Linked DNA regions of Diceros bicornis minor. The protein of the gene in region 1 interacts with the protein of each later gene in a biochemical or structural test. Links are inferred from orthologs where the notes say so. Each region holds a gene or a part of one and is shown on either strand. Other genes may lie near its edges.

Evidence for each region.
Region 2: the proteins of KPNB1 (region 1) and KPNA4 form a complex in vitro, tested with the Homo sapiens proteins (2 studies listed by BioGRID and IntAct, with this or other methods). The link is inferred for Diceros bicornis minor from reciprocal best matches to the Homo sapiens genes KPNB1 and KPNA4.

Annotation. Positions count from the first base shown.
Region 1 is NC_080757.1:38,182,527-38,193,569, reverse strand, and holds the start of KPNB1 (importin subunit beta-1), read left to right. Parts: upstream 1-5,879; 5' UTR 5,880-6,199; coding exon 6,200-6,239; intron 6,240-6,341; coding exon 6,342-6,400; intron 6,401-8,535; coding exon 8,536-8,718; intron 8,719-11,043.
Region 2 is NC_080754.1:66,455,796-66,466,563, reverse strand, and holds the start of KPNA4 (importin subunit alpha-3), read left to right. Parts: upstream 1-5,764; 5' UTR 5,765-5,996; coding exon 5,997-6,065; intron 6,066-8,875; exon of another isoform or gene 8,876-8,942; coding exon of another isoform or gene 8,943-8,981; intron 8,982-10,768. UniProt on the Homo sapiens protein: Functions in nuclear protein import as an adapter protein for nuclear receptor KPNB1. Binds specifically and directly to substrates containing either a simple or bipartite NLS motif.

The DNA of each region.
Region 1 (11,043 bases):
ATACCATCTCCCCCTCTAGAGGAAGTAACCCATAATTAAGTGTCCACTATGTGCTTAGCTTTTTCAAGCATTTTAAAATTCGATCTTACAAGTATGTTTTAATGTTTACCGAGACGCTAAGTAACATGCAAAGTAACAGAGTAACAGACGGCAGGGACACAAACCCTGGTCTGACCGACTCCAATGCCAAACTTTTGGTCTCTATTCCACGTGGCCTCCCTAGTTAATGCCAGCAGTTCCAAAACGTGACTGTTCATTAGAATCACCTGGGGAACTGTTCTGAAGGCCCACACCAGAGCTACTACTACGACTCTCTGAAGGTGGGGCCCCAAAATGTATTTTTTAAAAATTCCTATACTTCCTATTTGACATATATTATTTGCTATTTATTACTAATTAGCATGTTTAAAACATATGCGTTCTTCATAACTTCCACTAGGACAGCAAATACTGTCCTATTCATCTCTGGGACCCATCCAGTACCTCTACGGAGCAGGCACTCAAGAATATTTGCTGGTTGTCTAAATGCGAAACTGTGAGGTACACTGTGAGCTATACTGTTGCAAGAGTTCAGAGAATAACAACAACAGTATAACAGCTAGCACTCACTGAACCCTCATCATATGCCAGCCCCTCACTGTTCTAAGAACTTTACATGTGCTAACTTCTGAGGACTTTGCAAGAACCCTACGATCAGGATGCAATTTGCAGGGCCCCTTGTTCAAAAATTTTGAAGCATTTCAATACGGTGAGAGCAGAACATTAAACCAAGCAAGAAGCCAGCCCTTCTAAGTGCCTATGTGACTGTACAGGTCTCGTACCTACGAAGCCAACGCTAAGACTATTATCCCCATTTTACAGAAGAGGAAACTGAGACACAGAGGCATTAAATAAGCATTCCCAAGATCACACTGTTAGTAAGCAGAGATATCAATGCGCACAACCTTTGTTAACAAAGGCTTCATTGCAATCTCTACATTTACAAAGTTCTCCAATCCTTCAATGTTCAGCTCAAATCCTCCCTTGTCTACTAAGTGTTCTCATAACTATGTCTGGAAAATAAGAAGTCTCTCTCCCTCCTCTCAGATTTTAGCTCCATGACAGCACTGGGTTTGTACCTCTCTTATGGCTTTTATCATATTCTCATGTTATGCTTGAAATGCCCTAGGGGGTGGGGGAGACATCCAATAAATTAATGTAGTTAAATGAACAAATTAACAAGGTACAACTTAGAAGACAGAGAAGGACAAGGAGGGAATTCTAGGTAGGGGAAAGGCCTAGGACACTGATGAGCACTTCTGCAGGACACAGGGAGATGGTTGGCTTGATGGATCAAAGGTACATGTAGGGGCTAGTGTGGGTAACACTGGAAAAGAGGGCAAATTAAGTTATAAAGTGTCTTTACAAAGCTAGACTGTCACTTCTCACAGGCCATAAGGACATGTTGCATGTGTAGTTACGTATGCTTCATCTGTTTCACAAACACTTGACCCTACTATGTGTGAGGCACAATTTTAAGCTACAAACAAGACAGACAAGATCCTTGCTCTCATGGAAGTTGCATTTTAGTGGGGGTAAGAACAGACAGCAAAAAAAAAAAAAAAAAAAAGATAATTTCAGGTACTGAGAGGTTTTCTGAAGATAATCAAATAGGGTCCCGTCCCAAAGACTATCTGTGGAAACCACCTTAGATGGGGTGGTCAGGGAAGGCCTCTCTGAGGAAGTGACATCTGAACTGAGACAGTACTAATGGGAAGGAAGAGCGAATGCCAAGGTCCTGAGACTCATACATCATGGTGTCTTCAAGGAACAGAAAGAATGCTGGAGCCTAGTGAGCGAAGGGAAGGGCGGGGGAGACGAGAAAATTGTTTGATGATAATAGTATTTCTGCTTCTGGGGGTTGAAGTTGAAAGAGCAACGTCTCGGCTGCTTTTCTGCGAATGCTCTCTCTTCTCTAAGTTATTTGGGAGAAGCGTGGGAAGTCAGGAAAACGGCAACGAAGTTTGCCCCATTACCAAGCAGAGGGGCACTTAGTCCTCCAGATGTCGCCTTCACCTCCATTCTTCCTCAACGCTAATGAGGCCAAAGTTTGACCCGTCTCAGGTGGGTCAGCTCTGCGCAGGAGGAAAGGGCATCAGGTCACAGCCCGACTGCTTCTCCCCTCGCAGCCAGTCTTCTCACACGTATGTGCTGCAGGTCATGGGGGGACTGGGTGCTTCACAGATCCTGGCGAGTGTCTCCCGGCACGAGACACTTGTCCCGAGCGCTTCAGAGAGGCTCCTGTGTATGCTCAGACCACCCAAGGTGCGGCCCAGATTCTCCCATCTCACAGACCCAAAAGCTTACGTGACTTGTTCAGGATCATACAGCAGGAAATGGTAGAGTAAGAATGAAACCCAGTTTTTCTTTTTAATTTCATAATTCGTTCATTGGACATGAATATTCCTGCCACTCAAAAAGTTATAGAGAAAACACATTAAAACCTGTGTACTCCATACACAGCTCAAGAAACACTTGTACCTCTCCCCACTCTACTAAACCAGGTGGCTTCCAGTTCCTCCTACTTGGGAAACACTGCAAATGGGATCACCATCCATTCCACAGTGCAAGCCAGAGATCCAGCAGGCACCAGTGACACCTCCCTCTTCTTCCAGTCAGTTACCAAGTTCAATTAATTTTGCTATCTATTTCCACTATTACTTCTTCCCTTCTCCTTTCTCCAAGTATCATCTCTTACCTGGACTATTGCAATGGCCTACTAACTGGTCTCCCTGCACCTACTCTTCCCTCTTTCCAGGCTAATCTCCACATTATAACCACCAACATTCTTAACACCTTTGAATAGCTGCCCTTTGCTCTTAAGATATAGACAAAATCATCTGCATGGCATGCAAGATCTCACATGGTCTTTTTCCTACTCAACACTCTAGCTTTACCTCATTCCCTTGTTCTCTGTGCTTTGGAGGTACTGGCCCTCTTGCAGTTCCTTATAATCCCCAAGCTCCCTCCCACCACAGGGCTTTTGCACATGCTATTCCTCCCTTCTCCACCTGAATAAGTCTCTTCTCTTTCTCAAGTAAGCTTTCCCTGAGTGTCCTGAGTCATTCTTTGGCATTTGGCATTTTTACAACTTTACATTTGTTTGAGAATTTTTTTTTTTGTGAGGAGATCAGCCCTGTGCTAACATCTGCCAATCCTCCTCTTTTTTTGCCGAGGAAGACTGGCCCTGGGCTAACATCCGTGCCCATCTTCCTCCACTTTATATGGGATGCTGCCACAGCATGGCTTGCCAAGCGGTGCGTCGGTGCGCGCCCAGGATCCGAACCGGCGAACCCTGGGCTGCTGCAGTGGAGCGCGCACACTTAACCGCTTGCGCCACCGGGCCAGCCCCAACATTTGTTTGAGATTAATTGATTAAAGTCTTTCTTCTCTAACAGGCCAAGGACCAAGAACCACTCACTTAGTACAAAATACATGCTAAATACATAATAGCCAACATATATAAACATGCCAAGCAGTGTTCCTAGCCCTTAACATGTATTAACTCACTTAAGACTTTCCAAAAGCGTACACGAAATAGGTACAATTATTAGCTGCATTTTAGCAAAGTCAGTCACACAAGCTAAGAAGAGGCAGAGCTGGGATATGAACTCGGGCGGACAGTTTCTGGAGTCTGTGTGCTCAATACCTTTTGGTGCCTCACTAGCATCTGCTGAGTGCAGGCTAGTGTTGAGTGCTTTGGACAGGGACTAGCCAGCATCATCAGGAACCTTAGTTCAACTAAAAACTCATTTCACTTGGGTTTTGGGAAGGATCTTTTGTTTGACTGGAACTTTGCTGCAAAACATTTATCTTCCCAGCATTTTATTTCAGCTACTTTAAAAATCCATTTGCCCTCACTGGTATATCATGACTGATGTCGAGTAGAGGGGGTGGCTCAGCACACCGGTGAGAGCAGGAGAAAGCTGGCTTGGAGTGAGACAAAACTCTGGATCATTTGTAGCATGGGTAATCCGCATAAGGGCAGTTCAAGATTTTCATGGAGGTCATCTCACTTAACCTTCATTGATTCCTAACAAAGTTACACACAGGGCCGTTCTTCCTCAGTTAACAGATGAAGCCAAAGGCCGGGTTAGGAGGACGGCTAAGCCACAGGAAATCCGCTAGTCACAGAATGAGGTGAGGAATGGTGTCCCCACACTTCCAGCATCACAACTGCAAAGATATCTCTAGCAGAGAAAGACCTCTTCTTTCTCTTTTAAGGTTAAAGGTAGCTGGCCAAGCTTTTTTTTTTCTTTTTTCTCCCCAAAGCCCCAGTACACAGTTGTCTTAGTTGTAGGTCCTTCTAATTCTTCTACGTGGGACGCTGCCTCAGCACGGCTTGATGAGCGGTGAGTATGTCTGTGCCCAGGATCCGAACTGGCGAACACCCGGGTCGCCGAAGTGGAACGCGGGAACCCAACCGCTATGCCACAGTACCCGCCCCAAGCTTTTCTAATTCTTGGGTGGAATCTCTCAGAGAGGACGGAGTTCCTCCCAGGTATTCCCAGTATGACTAGAGTAGGGCAATTATTCCACAAGCTCAAGCTATTTGGTAAAGAGCTCTATAAGCTATATCCAATTACCCCGAGATCAATACAATGAAAATGTAGTAATTCAGGACATTCTTCACGGGGAGTCCATGTACCAATGTCAGGGAAGTCAAACTGTATGCACATTTTCTTTATGTGCATTCTGCTAAGGAAAGGCTTTCATTAGTTTCTTCCAGGGCTTAGAACTAAATAAGGCTAAGAACCACGATCCTTTATGCCTGTACACACATTCCTGCTGGCTCACGGTTGTGCCTTGATTAGAGGCACCTTCGCAGGATGAAACATTTATATTCCTTTAAGTACCTGGTAGCTATGGATGGGGCGTCTAAGAGAAATCCAAATGCCCATCCCACGTGAGTTAGGCCTTAAAACAGCACAAGCCTCAAACCCTATAAATAGATCTAAAAGATCTGCATGCGCATTCTCCTCCTTGGAAAGGAAGCTGCGTGTAAGGCCAAGGGCAGTCAGGAGCGCTTGAATCCAGTCCAGACCAGGCCACTAACCCGCTGTGTAACCTTGGACAAGTTGCATACCCTCTCTGGGCTTCAGTTTCCACATCTGCAAATAGAAAGTTGAACCGCATGGTCTTCAAAGTCCTTCCCAGCCGAGAGCCTGGTACCAAGGAGGCCTAACCATTAAAGCAGCTTCCTGTGGGCGCGGTGCAGGGCTTTAACGGTCCCCCCTCCCCCGCTCGGGCCCGCGAAATCCTCTTCAACACGCCCCTCGGAGTGACGGCGCTTCCCCAACCGCAGCCCGCACACGGCTCCGCCCCTTCCCGGAGGCGTCCCGTCGTGCCCCGCGCCGGGCTCCGAAAGCGGCGGGGCACCTCCCGCCTTCCCGCGGCCGCGACCCCGAACTCCTCTCCCCAGTTCTCCCGGGCGCCCTATCCCATCAACGTCTAGGATCCCAGCCAATCACGCGGGCCCAGAGTCTTGCCTTCGGTCCACCCTCCTCCCAGCGCGCAGCCGGTCGGAGCTCAAGGCCTTTACCAGGCCAACCCAATCAGCGGCCGGCTCTCGCCTGCCCCACCCCGACCTCTCTCCCCTCGACCAATCCGCACGCCCCATTCCGCTGCCCGCCCAGCTAACCCGGGCCTTGAAACTGGCGGGCAAATCGGTGCATGGCGGCCCTTCAACGCTGCCCACCCGGCCAATTGGGGATTCCGCGTGGCCAGGGCGGCAGCCAATCGGCGAGGAGCGCGGTGCCGCCGCGGAGAGGCCCGGCCCGAATATCCCTCCGCCTTCCTCCCTCCTCTCTCTCCCTCCCTGCGAGCCGCCGTTCACTTATCGCCTCCCTTCCTTCTTTCTCCCTCCGCCGCCCGAGCACCAGCCGCGCTCCTAGCTGCCCCCGGGGTCCCTCCCCCGCCGCCCGAGGAGCAGCTGCCATCGCCGCCAGCAGCAAAATAGGAGGGAGGAAGGAAGGCCAGGAGGAAGGCAGGGGAGCCGGAGCGACCACCAAGAGGGAGCCGGTGAATGGGCTTGTGGTGACCCCCGCCCCCCACCCCACCCTCCCTTCCCACCCGACCCCCAACCCCCATCCCCAGTGAGAGCCGCCGCCCGAGAGGCCGGGCCGTCGTCTTAGGAGGAGCCGCTGCCACCTTCTCCGCCATGGAGCTGATCACCATCCTCGAGAAGACCGTGTCCCCCGGTAGGACGTGGGGGCCGGGGGTCGCGCCGAGGTGACCGGGTGGGGGAAGAGGGACCCCCGGCCCTTCTGACCCTGTCCCCTTTCCCACTTTCCTTCCCCCAGATCGGCTGGAACTGGAAGCGGCGCAGAAGTTCCTGGAGCGTGCGGCCGTGGAGAACCTGGTGCGTGCCGGCCGCCGTCCCCATCCCGCCGTCTCCCATCCTTGCGTGCGGGCCTTCCCGCCCTCCCGGAGGCCCAGGCCTCGGGAACCCACCCCGCCCCATCCCGTCCCCCTCCCCCCGCCCGGTCCAACCTAACCCCGCCATCGGGAAGCCGGTGGGTGTGTCCCGCCCCGGGCCCCGCAGTGGGCCAATGGCGCGGCGCGCCGGGGTGACCGCCGCCCAATCGCCGCGCGGCCTGAGGGCGGCGGTGCAGCGCGAGGGAGAAAGAGGGAGGGAAGGGAAGTTAGGTTGCGCGGCGCTGCGTGTTCAGCAAGGGTGGGGGTGGGGGAGCCGGGCCTAGGGGCCATGTGGAAGCTCGGAGCCCGGCTGCCCGCCTGGTCTCATCCGGGCCGGCTTCTCTCTCCTGTCCCGTGGCCCATGTGATTTTAGATTCTCTCCACCTACTTCCCAGAGCGCTACGCTTTCCTATATCCCTTGGTCTGTGCTCAGGACCAGGCCTGGCACCCAAATGCCCGTTCCGGCAGTATTTCTTCGTTTCCTGCCTGGTTATTCCTCTCCTGGGGTGTTTTTTTTTACATCAATTGAGTGGAGACTTAATCTGTACCCAGACAACCCGCTGAGGCTCATCCTTGAGATCGGGCCTGTGTCCAGATGAAATCACAGAGGAAAGTTCCTCGTTTTTCGTATTTTCAAATTTAAGGGCTACAGACAAAAAATGAAGATAAGTCCACTAGAGACTGGATCTCGAAATAAAAATGTGGGATGGATTGGTTGAAACAGCCTGTGTACCAGTAATGTTTCTCTTTGGTGTCCCTCTCCTGTTGGGGGGGATGGGGAGCAGAGGGAAGGGTGGATGATACTTGACATCTTTTAAAAAGTATTAGGTAATAAATCTAAATAACACTAATTAAACGTGGTCCCTTGTGTTATCTGGGCAAAGTAATGTAAACAAAAAAAGTGACGAGGCTTATTTTATACAAACTGCCTTTAATCATTTTTTTCCCCCCTCATATGTGCTAGTTTTTAGTACTAATCTTTTTATCCTTGACTTTCTGTAGAAAAGATATTTTGCACTAGTGTAGACTGATAACATTTCCATTTAGGGTATATTCTTGTTTCTACTTTTGCTAATATGCAAGAAGGCTTTTATCTTGTTCCTAACATCTTATTCCTAACATTCTTTAGTGGTACATAATTAATAAAACTTTTAAGAATTATCTTCTGCTGTGATTGCGGAACTTGTTAGTGGTAAGAAAGTACCTGCTTTTGGTTTTTCCTGTTAACTTTTCCATTTGCACAGAGCTTTCTGCGGGTAAGAGGAGAGTGTGTTACAATTTTTAAACAAAGGGAGTAGTTTTGGGGACCCGTGCATTACAAAAGATTAAGGATGCTTTTCAGGAATCCAGTATGTTTAGTGGATAACTCAGGTACAAAATGTATAGGAGGTTGTAGCGTATTAACTGTTGACTATTAAATATAAAATTATTTTCCTTGACATTTTTAACTTTTCAATGTTCCCCTATTCCTAAATATTTATGTTTTTCCTTGTAAATCTGCTTTTTTCATTGTTCCCCTTTTACTGAACACTTAGAACTAAAATAGAACTAACCTCCGAAGTCCATGTTTTAGGTTTATAAGTATTTCCCTCTCTTTTACAAGGTTACCTGCTTCCATGAGATCAAAATCCACCTTGAGTATCATTCTTTTTGGACTAAGATTTTTTAAATTTAGAAAAACAATTTTACTTTCTACCCTGTCATGACATGTTCATTCATTTAACAAATATTTATTGAGTACTAGGCACTGTTGTAAGTACAGAGAAGAATCCTCTCACTACCACATTGTCAAATTTGCTTTAGTACTGAGGGATCTAATGTGAAGATCTGATGTTGGTAGGAAAATCTCTAACTCTTTGTTAAATGCTGAGGCTGCATGAGAACATGGATGACTTCTTTATATACCAAGTAACATTTTTATAAGAGTTTTGAAGTAGATATTTTGACATTTTCTGAGACGTTATGATATGTTCTAAAAAATTTAGATTTTCTCCAGTGTTTTGGTGCTCTGTAATTCATTCTCAATTGGTGAAATTCCTAAGAGAGATTTTCATTCACAAATGCATCTTCTCTTAACAGCCCACTTTCCTTGTGGAACTGTCCAGAGTGCTGGCAAATCCAGGAAACAGTCAGGTTGCCAGAGTTGCAGCTGGTCTACAAATCAAGAACTCTTTGACATCTAAAGATCCAGATATCAAGGCACAGTATCAGCAGAGGTGGCTTGCTATTGATGCTAATGCTCGACGGGAAGTCAAGAATTATGTAAGTGACTTTCATCTCATTCTGGTCATATTAGCCTAGGGAACAAGAAACATCTTTGTCAGTTTTTTGTCATTTAAATGGGATAGAGCTGACAGTGTAATAGGTTTCTGGGACCTAAACTTCACTTGAAGATAGAAATCGTATTTGATTTAAATCTTCTTTCTCAGTTCAGCTTGTCTGTTCCCATTAATGCATTGGAATTTTTTTTTAGACAACTGAGATAGACTGCAGCAGTTTGGGAAACTTGAATTAGATGCCAGAATTTGTAGAGTCTCTGGTGAATTTGCATGGTAGACAAATTGGTGGTTCCCAACTTGGACTATCAGAATCACTTAGAGAATTTGTTAGTGATATGTATTTCCAGGCTCCCTGCAGAGATTCCCATTTGGAGTGAGGTTCAGGGATATTTTTTAAACTGTCTTCCCAAGTGATTCTTCCATAGTCACCCAGCACCTGGCTCTTGTTGAACTTCTGCTATAGATAATTTTCGTTGTTTGCTGGTTTAGGCATGGCACTATGTGCAGTCAGAAGGGGAATTAAATGATCTCTTGGGCCTTTCAAGCCCAAAGAGTTGGCAAAATAAGATTATGACGTTAATGTTGCTTTTATCTACTTAGCAAATTATGAAAAATTTTTTTTAGGAACATTTGGCTTTTTATCAAGGGGTTTAAAGAGCTGGACTGATGAATTTTGAGGAAAACTGAATGTCCCTTGTTGCTCTGCACCATGGAGTTCTTGTGACTTTTTTGCTGAGTTAGAAATCCATAATTCTAGCTACAGCAAAGGATTCAGAATATGTGGACAGATGTTCGCTTTTTTCTTATTTTTTTTAGTTAATGAGATTCTTTAGTGGCCTGTCTTACATGGATAAGGCACAGAGCATAGTAAGTAAGCATCTGTGCAGTCATTGATTCGTCCTTGGTTTTTGAGGGGAAACCAGTGGGGGATTCCTGTGGGTGTGCTTGTGCAGGTCATGGTTATGCACATCATATTTGCTGTTTCCTTTTTCTAGGTGTCAGCATTAGGTAAATTAGTTCCCCTTAAGGCAGTAACTTCTCTTTCTAGTTATATACCTCCTTCCCTCTCCAATCTTGCATGGAGGTGCTCATGACTTGGAACTAGGTTATGAAAGCCAACTTTGAGTCTCCTTCAATATATGTAGAGCTATTTCTATCCACATTGGGTCTGCTTATGTAATAACATTTTAATCTTTAGCTCAGTAATTTGATATAAATGAAGTTTATTTTATCAGTCACTGGAAATCGTGGGGCTTATAGTCCCCATTCATTTTCTCATCTTAAATTACACAATAGTAAATGAGATAAGACACAGTTGGAACTGTAATTGACTGGTTTTTGTTTGGTTGGTTTTTAGCATATCACTCTTAACACCAAAGTTATTTTTAATTTGGATGAGAATTTATTTAGGCCTTGTTGAGCCCTTGTGCGTGAACAATAATTTAGCAGTTGTCTTGGCCTTTTTCCCTTTCATAACACATGTAGCACATTTTCTCAGTGCTGGTGGTTATTCCCTGCCGCCCCGCCCCGCCCCCCCCCACCCCGCCCCAGGAAGATCAGCCCTGAGCTAACATCCATGCCAATCCTCCTCTTTTTGCTGAGGAAGACTGGCTCTAAGCTAACATCTATTGCCAGTCCTCCTCCTCTTTTTTCCCCAAAGCCCCAGCAGGTAGTTGTATGTCATGGTTGCACATCTTTCTAGTTGCTATATGTGGGACACCGCCTCAGCATGGCCGAACAAGCAGTGCGTTGGTGCGTGCCCAGGATCCGAACCCGGACCACCAGTAGCAGAGCGCGTGCACTTAACTGCTAAGCCACGGGGCCGGTCCGAAGGTTATTATTATTTTTTTTTAATTTGAGTCTTGGACACAATTGAGAGCTAGTTTATTATTGCTCTTATTTCTAATAAGTAGGTATTATCATTAGGGTCACCCCAAGTTTTAAGAAAAATAACTTTCAGTACTCAGGAGTTGGACCCTCTGAATCACTCAAGTAATATTAATTAAGGGTCTTCTAGAAGCAATTTAGAAGAGAAAAGGTAAAGGTAGAATGAGATTCAGTACTCTCCACGTACATACTAGGGGATGATGTAGTGTAGTTCAAGGCACCCTGGACTGGAACTCTTAGTCAGACTTGGGTTAATACCTGTTCAGCCCCTGTTTTTGGACAACTCATCTTATTCCCAACCCCCACCTCCCATGTCTTTGACTTACAGTTTTTGTTAAAGTCGCTTCTAGCTCTGGTAGACATAGAGAGTAAAACCTTCATTTAGGATCAGTTGGAACTGTCTGTTACCGGGTAGAGCTGT
Region 2 (10,768 bases), on another chromosome or scaffold:
CATTTGCAAGAACATGGATGGACCTCGAGGATATGATGTTAAGCAAAATAAGCCAGACAGGGAAAGATAAACACTGAATGATTTCACTCATATGTGGCAGGCAGACAAACACATGGACAAAGAGAACAGATTAGCGGTTACCAGAGGGGAAGGGGGCTGGCGGGTGGGTGAAAGGGGTAAAGGGGCACATACGTATGGTGATGGATAAAAATGAGACTACTGGTGGTGAGCACGATGCAGTCTATACAGAAATTGATAAATAATAATGTACACCTGAATTTATACAATGTTATAAATCTTTATGATTGCAATAAAATAATTGGAGGGGAAAAAATAAAAAATGTTTTAAAAAAAATAGGGATAGGGAGCCTGCCTGAAGTGAGAAGTAGTGGGATAAGAGGTTTGGGCCTATACCCCACCCACTCCCAGTTCCTTATTTCCCAATCCCTAGAATCCTAACCCTCCTCCCTACCAGTTTAGGCTACTAGAAACCATGAGAGTCTAACCGGTGAGGGCTAGGCCAGGCTCCCAAAACATCAGGTAAACTATGAATTTGCAGAATGTCTAATTCACGGAATTCTAAGTGTAAGGAACACTGTCATCTTTGTAATTGCATCACCTAACACAATTCCTGGTGCATAGTGGCAAAGAGAAGAGATGTGTTCCTGCTGACCAAAGCTGTAAATCCAAGTATTTTCCTTATAGAAACACTGTCACATATTGTGACAAGGTTCCATGGCATTCAAATAAGTACTTGACAAATTAAATAAGCCTTTGTGAGCTAACCTGAACACCTACCCACTAGTCATGACCATGTTCTCATGCACATGTTTCAAAGAACTAATCTTCAAGTAAACTTTTGAAATATCACTCATTTGTACGTCACTATACTTGGTTGATGCTGTTAACACAAAATTTTTAAATTGAGGGTCTAGGCTCAATGATTTCAAGTTTCCAAATAGCATTCTGCTTAATACTAATGTCTCAAAATTTCCACTCCCACCCACCCCCAAGTTCCTAAAACTGTCACACAAAGGAAACTTTTTTTTTTAAGAAACACTCACTAACATCCAGTTCTGGGGAACTCTGAGAAACACTGCTGTAGGTCATATGATAGTCTCCTTGACTATTTGGCTTCTTAAGTGGTTCTTTCTGTGCTAATTACTTCTTAATAATTAAAAACAAATGATACAGGTGCCAGGCCAGTGGCATAGTGGTTAAGTTTGCTTGCTCCTCTTTGGGGGCCCGGGGTTCACAGGTTCGGATCCTGGGTGTGGACCTGCACACCGCTCATCAAGCCATGCTGTGGCAGCTTCCCATATACAAAATATAGAGGAAGGCTGGCACAGATGTTAGGTCAGGGACAATCTTCCTCAAGTAAAAAGAGGAAGATTGGCAACAGATATTAGCTCAGGGTGAATCTTCCTCACCATAAAAAATATATATATATTTTTATATATATATATAAATATATATATCCTTTATATATATAAAATACACATATATCCTTTATATATATAAAATATATATATACACATATCCTTTCATTTTCCAATATTTTAGGCTCAAGTGAAAAGCAAGTGAAAAAAAGCTTTAGAAAATCTATGCATGTTTGCCTGGTGGCAATACAAATAGATATCAACCAATAATCAATGATCTGTATACATGAGTATAAATTCAGTTTTTATCAACTGAACTAAAAAATTTAGTTTTTCTTCAATTAATTAGTCAAAACTAAGCTTAAAAAAACTAAGTTAAAGAAAAATTGGGTGGCTCACCTCTCCAATCAAATTAATATCAACGCTTTTTAGCTTTTTAATTCATCATCTCTTACCATTCAGGGACTTTGGTCAAAATAAAGAAGTAGTTTTCTCCAGGCTCCTCAAGTTATAAGTCAGAAAAGTCCTGGCAATAAACAGAAATGAATGAAGCCCCCCCAATACCTGATCAACTATGTTTTCCTAAGAAAATAAAGGTATATTATCAAAGGTCCAATGTTTTCCTCTGAAAAAAAGAACTACTCCAACTACAAAAAACATAAATTACAGTTTAGTAAGATTTAGCAACATATAAAGTTGCGTCTTGTTTCAGAAAATACTACCTAGAGTTTTGCTCAAGTAATCTCACAAAATCCAAGGTACTCCCTAAACAGTAACGGAAACGATAAGATCCATATTATAAATTAAAGAGAGATTCCACAATCTTCAATTTAATCTAAGTATCATAAGACTACTCCAAACTGCTTAAATAATTATCAATCATAATTCTTTTTGAAATTATATTTGATCAACTAAAACCCTGTGTAAACCTTCACAAATCCTCTCATAAATATCTGCTGCAGAACAGAGGAAGATTCTTTATTCAGAAAGTGACTCTAAGAGGAGAATTTCATGACACATTGAAAATAAGTTATTTCCATATTTCAGTCTTTTTCTATACCAAGTTAACAAGTCAGGATATTAAGTTACCTGGCACTGAATATCCTATTTGAAAACAGGTCTCATATATAGGTTTCATAGTGTTTGGTTACAAGTATATTTCATATACACAAAAAACATCTTTGTTAAATATTAAATAGTCTATGTTGAAACGGTATTAATGGCTGCATCTGACTACTTTCTTATTCAGCAAGTTAAATTTCTGAAACTACAGTTAGAGCTATTGTATCTTGCTAATTAGGCTGCCAATCTGCATTTAAAGCTACAGTCATGGGCTGCATAACAACAGTTCAGTCAATGGCGTACCACATATATGACAGTGGTCCCATAAGATTAGTACCACACAGCCTAGGTGTATAGTAGGCTATACTATCTAGGTTTGTGTAAGCACACTCTGATGATCGAACAACGAAATCACCTAAGGACGCATTTCTCAGAATCAATCCCTGTAGTTGTTAAGCAACACATGGCTGTATCACCAACTCTAGAAAAACTTCTTTACCCCTGTTATAAGTTATGTATCCTCTATCTGGGAAGAACTGGAAGTATAGACACTAAACATTTAAACTGGCTGGCAAACAGGTAGTGACAATTTCAAATGAAAAATTTAGGCCAGCAAACAGATTACCTAAGCATTATAATTAAGGATAATTGTTAGTCTTAGCAAAGTGTGTCACAACTACTTTTAAACACGTGGGGGGGTATGCCCTGAAACCTATGTCTCGTCTACTCCCTGAACCCTGGAATGAGTATGATACCAAATTAAGTATTCTTAGAAGGAACTCAGTGTAAATCATAAGCAATAGCAACTCAATTCACATCTTTTATCAAGAAGTGTTACCTTGTTTTTAACTTATGAAACATAACCAAAGACTTTTAGATTCAAGTCTTACATTTGACAGTCACTGAGCGCATTCTATGTGCCACGTACTACTAGGTGCGGGTATACAGAGAACAAAACAAATATGGTCCTTGACTTCAGAGAGCTTATTGTCTAGAGAGGGAGACAGGCTTTAGACAGACCTTAAAAAACAAACCAAAATCACTTTGTGGTTATTTCCTGTTTGTACTGCATCTCACTCAGTGGGGAACTGTGATCATGCCCTTGTTTTAGGAGTATTCTGCAGAGAACCTTGAGTTGTTTAATCATCAGAGACAATCAGTTGTAGCTGGGAGACATAATGGCAGTGTGGGAGAGCGAAATTGGCCACCTCAACATATGTCTCTTTACCTTCATTATTTTCTCTGGAGGACATTTGACCTTCCCCCCTAACTGCCTAAACGAATTTAACTCTGGGTATGGATATACCAGCAGGGTCCTTGGGAAGCCCAAACATTTACATTTGTAAGGGAAATCTCCATTTGTAAAGGTATCTACCTCTCTCTACTGGGAAGAGCGGGGGATGACCCTATCTCTGGAAACTCTTATCAGCACGGAGGAGAAGACTTAAATCTACACTCTCTTGATTGCTGTGCTTTCTGGTCTTTCCCTCCCCAACACCCTCCTTTGTCTATCTGAACAGGCTATTTAAGGCGAACACCTCTGCGGTTTGTAGAGAAACACAGTGTCCCTGGTTTCTCCCATGTATACATGTCATTAAACTTTGATTTTCTCTCCTGCTCTTCAGTCTCATTTCAATTTAATCTGTAGCCCAGCCAGGAAGGCCCAGAGCGGGTAGAGGAGACTCTTCTTCCCCCTTCAGCAGACAATTTTATAACCTTTATCATGAAAGCTGTCATGGAATTTATTCCAACAAGTACAAAATATTCATCTACATACGCATGTCGACAAGATCACTTCTAATTATAGGGTGGAATTCACCAATAATTTGTTTTCTTGAATCCTGCTCATGACAAATATCCATGTTGGGGGAAAATACACACATATTCCAGCTTTTCAAGTGAAATTTCTTATCCTAAACTCATTTTGAAAACATCAGTGCCCCAGTGTGCAATGGTACTTCAATTAAATGATTCTTTAGGGAATATTTATAATGAATGTCATGATTTAAAGTTAAAATCGGCACTGAATTTACATTCAAGTTAATCTTCAGTGTGGATTATTTCCATGTACAGCTTCTGTTTGCCTAGGAAGCTGAAAGTATACCAAGTATTGAGGACTTTAAAGGTATTATTCTCATTTCAAACATTTTATCTCTGCACGCTGTTCTACTCAAAAAGAATGCTAGTATGGAAGTGGGAGGGAAGGGGATGAGGAGTGAAAGTTCCCAAAGGAGTTTGAATCAGGGTCTCCTCCCACTACGTCGTCAAACTGAAACACACCCGACGCTTCTACCCTGCCGCTTTCCTTCCGACCTCAGTCGCTGCTGACTACCCCACGTTTACCTGTACATTTGAAGTACTTTTAGTTGGTATTTAAATATATTTTTAAACCTTTTCTTTCTCCCCTTTCCAGAAATATTTGAGTACGTTCTTTCGTAGCTTGTTATTTTCGCCTCTGATAATAATATTCCTGGTAGGGATGTATGATCTTCGAATTCGTTTCCTTTCTCAACAGAGTTACAATATTACACTACTGTGTCATGTGCCACAGACCCCGCCTTCCAGAAGTTAGTACTTGATGGCCAAGAAGCTTCTTTACTCTCTAAGACCGAATACCTAAGAGGTGCTAACATCAAAGGATCATCAGCGATTCCAAAGTTCCTACCTGTTGCGGGGACTTGGTCAGAGGAGATGAATCAGATTTGTCTAACGCGTCCTTTTCCTTTTCCACTCACCAACCCTCCCGCTTCCCGCCGCGCCCCCCAAAGCACGTCACCCTGCAGTCCTGCCCCGAAGCCCGGCCCTCAGACGCAGGGCCGCCTCCGGGGAACGGAGCTGGTGGGGCAGAAGGGTCCCGACCCGCGATGGGGCAGGCGCAGCCCTCACTTCCTGTAAAGTCGGCGGAGAGCGCAGGGAATACCCTGGGCGAGAGGGCGCACCCGAGAAACAGTGGACGTACTCCTCCTCGGCTTCGAGCCCGGACCCCGGACATCTGCGGCAGCAGGACGCCCGGAGCAAACCACCACGCTCCGGGGCTCCTCCCTTTCCCCCGCTCCCCTCTTGCGGTCTCAGTCTCCTTCGCTTCCTCCCCCGCGCTCCGGCGGCACGGGGCCCCACCCCTCCCAGACTTCCCGGCCGCCGGCCCCTTCCTCCCAGCGCAGCTCGCTTCCCCTTTCCTTTTGCTCTCTTCGCCCCCGCTCTCCATCGTCCTTTCTGATTGGTCGAGCGCGCCGGAGCCTGGGTAGCCAATCAGCGAGCGGGGTTGGCGGGATGGGCGTGGTCGCGGCGCCGGGCCCTCAGACCGAGGCTGCCTCCCCCTCTCAGCCGGCAGCGCATTCCGCCGCCGTTGCCGCCCGGCCCCGCAGTTGTCTCAGCCCGAGCGCGGTCGCGCCGGATAGGGCGGGGGGCGGGCGGGGAGAGGAGCAGGAGGCCGCGCGAGGCAGGGAGAGGAGGAAGGCCGCGGCTGGCGGCCCGGCTCCCGGGAGTGTCGGCGCGGCGTGGTGGTTGGGGCGGATCCCGCGGGGCCCGGGCGGGGAGGGAGTCTCCGGCCCGGCCATGGCGGACAACGAGAAACTGGACAACCAGCGGCTCAAGAATTTCAAGAACAAAGGCCGCGACTTGGAGGTACGGTCGGGGCGCCGGAGGGCGGGGCGCGGGCGCTCGGCGGCCTCGAGTGCGGGGGGCGGGCGGAGCCGGGCCGGGCATGGCGCCGGGCCGCCCGCCGTGACGCCTTTGCGGCCGCGCCGGGAAGTTGGTGCCGGCCTGGGCGGCCTCCGCCGGGAGCGGCGCTGGGCTGCGGCCTAGGCCTGCCCGCGGCGCCGGAGCCGGAGCCGGCGCGTCCGGGCCGGGAGGGCTCCCCCGGCGCGGGGTTCCGGCGCTCGCTCGGGCGCCGGCGCCGCGGCAGGGGGCGGGAGGGCGGCGGGGAGCGAGCCTGCGGCCCCCGAGGGGGCTCGGAACTTCCTCGGCGCGGCCCGGGGCGTGTGCGCTGACAGACATGTCGGCGGGTCTTCCCGACCCCCGCTTTACTCCTGTCTCCCCCGGTATCCGAGCTACGGCAGTCCGCTTCTCCGTGGAGAAATGCCCCTCCTGGGGATGCTGACATGCCTTCCAGCAGCCTGTGTTTTATTCGGATGTAGCTGACTCAAGACGTGGCTCACAGTGTGCCCTCTTCCAGGCAAAGGATAGCCCTTATTTCAGCTTGTTCAGAAATCTTTCTACCGCCTCCTGAGAGCCTCCAGCTGCGTTCTTACGTATAAAGTCCAGAGGGTTATAGAAAGCTGTCATCCGCTAATCTACAGTATTGTTGCCCTCCACCTGCTAGTGGTGGTAGTGGGGGATGGGGTGGGCTCTGGAATGGCACCCTCACGTTTTATTATTTTAAGAGAGTGAAGAAAATCTTCATTATCTTAGATAGAGCTGCTCTCGAGGTTCTCCGGCTACATAAGATGTGAGGGTCAAATACGCACATACACACAAATCACAGATTTCTGGTAGAAGACTTCTTCCCTTCAGCTTTAAGAGTCTAGATAAATAGGATTTTTGTTTGTTTCCTTTTTTTAATACTTCCGTTCTGTATCTGAATCAAGAGTTTAGCTTTTAGGAGAAAGCGGTCAAGTAGTATTTTTTATGTTGTCCCTTTGTACTTTTTTGTACTGAGATCTTCAAATTCCCATCACCTGTTTCTGGACTTTGACCATTGCTTGACTGAGGTAGTAACTGCTTGGGGGCCTTTACACAAAGCCATTCAGTCTCTAGGGTAGTTTGTGCTGTCTTAGTGGTTTCATAGTTTGAGGGACTATTGTCTGGGGCTGTGGCTGTTAGTTCTGATTGTTTTAAGGTTAACGTGAGACATGAATCTTGTGATCCCTTTATTTTAATGAAAAAATTTTAACATCTATGTTGAGATAATTTACATGCCATAGAAACCACCATTTAAATGTACAATTTATGATTTTTAGTAAGTTTACCGAGTTGTGTAGTGATGTAATGAAAAAATTTTTGACTAATATGAATATTTAGAATGAGAAAAAAAATCACAAATTACAAAACTTTAAATACTGCAAAGTTACAAAATCCCGAAAAATATCAGTTAGGTGCTTGATGAATCCTTCTACTCCTTTTTTCCCCCTACATTTCTGGCTGCAGTTTTTCTAACAGTTTCATTGAGATGTAATTCACATACCATACCATTCACCCATTTAAAGTGGGCTTTTGGTGTTTTCACATGGTTGTGCAACCATCACCACAATCAATCTTGGAACGTTTTCATCACCCCAGAAAGAAACCCAAACTCATTAGCAGTCACTCTTCATTTCCCAAGTACTGTGTCTTTTTAGATTTGCCTATTCTGGATATTTAATGTAAATGTGTTATACAATATGTGATCTTTTGTGGCTGGCTTCTTTCAGGTAGCATAATGTTTTCAAGGTTTGCACATGTTGTAACAAGAATGTGTCAGTGTGTCAGTGCTTCGTTCCTTTTTATGGCTGAATAATATTCCAGTGCGTGGATATACCACGTTTTGTTTATCCATTTATCAGTTGATAGACATTTGCATTGTTTCTTCCTTTTAGCTATTATGCATAATACTGCTATGAACATCCATATACACATTTTTGTGTGGACCTATGTTTTCATTTCTCTTTGGTTATATACTTAGGAGTAGAATTTCTGGGTCATATAGTAACTTTATGTGTAGCCTTTATTGGGATTGCCAAACTGTTTTCTCAAGTGATCCTTTTGTTTTTTAAATTGATGTTTCCACTTGCTGTATACCTCTTGTTTATTACTTTAGTCAAAATAAGATTAAGTGCTGACTCTATATTAGAATAATATTATGATATGTGATTTTTAAAAATAGCTATAAATACACATTAGGCAGATTTTTTGGAGAAGTTAAAGGTGCCTTCTGGGCATCCTCTGGTGACTTTGATAACCCTGTGTGTACATTAGGAATAGGAATCTTTTCACTTTTCCACCTAAGGAAATGACATATGACTCTAATGGAAAGTCATACTTTGTCCTCACTTGTGACTTACTCAAAGTCACATATGCTTGTGATGAGATGGAAACATCTTTTATTATCCTTAGAGAACACCAGAATGGCCTATTTTGTCTATTTATTAATTACATATATGCCTGTGTCCGTCAAAACACTTAACTATGCTCATCTCCTCCACCCCCAAATATGGTTTCTATGTTGTGCAACAACAAATCCTGAGAAAATACTGCTTTTTGATTTAGGTTTTATGATAACAGCTGTTTCATTGGGAGGTCTTTGGAAAGAAGTATGGACCAGTGCTGTCCAATAAATTTTATTTAATCCAATATATCCAAAATACTGTTGCAATATGTAATCAATGTAAAAAAATGAGATATTTTATATTCTTTTCATACTGAGTCTTCAAAATCTGGTTTGTATTTTGCACTTACAGCACATCTCAATTTGGACTACCTACATTTCAGGTGCCTTATAGCTACATGTGGCTAGTGGCTACCTAAATGGACCACACAGATACAGAGGATAGCATACAGAGTGAGGTAATTATAGCATTTTTCAGTTTGATCTGACATTGTTTGATTTGAAATTATGAAGAGTACAAAGTCCTAGAGTTTAGTTTAATCTGATCTGTGTGTGACCTTGGAAGAATTAGTCAGTCTTACGGTTCTTTCAGTCTGTAAAACTGGAGGTACTTGACATCTGCTTCATGAGTGTTGTGAAGATTGATAGGTTAATGTTAGGAAGATGCCTGGCAATTCTCTGAGCATTTTATCACCTTCAGTTTTTCTGTTTGGGGGGCAGGAGGGGATTTAATAGGATTCAGTGTAATTGATTCTTTTTGTGTGTGTGTGTGAGGAAGATCAGCCCTGAGCTAACATCCAATGTCAATCCTCTTCTTTTTTGCTGAGGAAGAGTTGACCCTGGGCTAACATCCGTGCCATCTTCCTCTACTTTATATGGGATGCCACCACAGCATGGCCTTACAAGCAATGCCTAGGTGCGCACCCGGGATCCGAACCTGTGAATCCCGGACCGCCAAAGCAGAGCACACATACTTAACCACTACGCCACTGGGCTAGCCCCTGATTCTTACTCCCTTATTTGTAATTGGCTCTGTTTTTTTCTTCTGTGCGAATATATATCTTAAGTTACAATTAATGGGGAAAGTTTTTAATGTAGAGATGTCTGATTGTTCATTGAAGGGCTTTTGGGCATAGGGAATTAGTGACTCTTCTAAAATCATAATTTCTAAGTGTTAGAGTTGAAACTAATTCATAGCTTTCAATCTGATGTTCATTCCTGTCTTTCAGTCTACCATTCTGGGTCCTCCAAAATGTGCTCATGCCTACTTCTTGAAAGACAGAAGCATCAAAGAAGGCATATGTCAGTAACCATTTAAAATAATTTACAGGAACTGTCAGATGATAGTCAAGGCTTGGCTTCTCTCATGCACTGTGTTAGAGAATCGTTATTATTAGTTTGAGAATAGTAACCATAGAGAATGTATGCACAGTGCAACACAGGAAATGGGTAGGGACAAAACTTCAATAAAAAATTTGTCGGAATAAAGCAAATTAAGATCATTATGTTTATGTTTTAAAAGTAGAGGGGGAATCTCTTGTAGACTTTATAACCTGTTTGATTTTTATAGAAGTTCTTGAGAGTGTCCAGGTTAAAATAGAGTATAAGTTATGTTAGAAAAATAATTGTCTTACAAAAACCTAGCTTTTAAGAAAAAACCTTACCCTAAAAATAAAAGAACATTAAAATACTACATAATTGGAAACTTGTGATTGTCCACACAAGATACAATATGAAGTCAGCTTGAACTTAAAAAAAAAAAATAGTTGCTTTGTTGGCAAGAGTTTAACAAATTGATCAGCTGTTTTATTGTTGTTTAGAAATGAGCTTGGTGATTTGTTCAACTGTACAGAGTGAAAAAGCATTGTTAAGGTATTAAGTCTTGTTAACTTTTAGAGACTGACCTCTCTCATCGCAAATCTTGGAACGTATTTACTATGCTTAAAATAACTGCTGTCTAATTTTTCATGTAATAGTCCAAGTGTGTGGCAATATGAAATATCTGACAGAAATATAGTTGGGAATTAAGTAATTTTTTGTGCTTCCTACCAGCTTTCCTGGTTTACAGGGCAACCAGTTTCAGAATTGCTTCATTGATGATTTTCTTAGAGATATCCAAATGTCTTTGTTTTTTATAGTCACTAATATGTCAAATGAATATACAAGATTGGAAAGAGTTGTAGGAGTGATTTAGCTTTAAAAGAATGAAACTACTTAAGAAAAAATGTGTAGGTAGTTTTTAAGC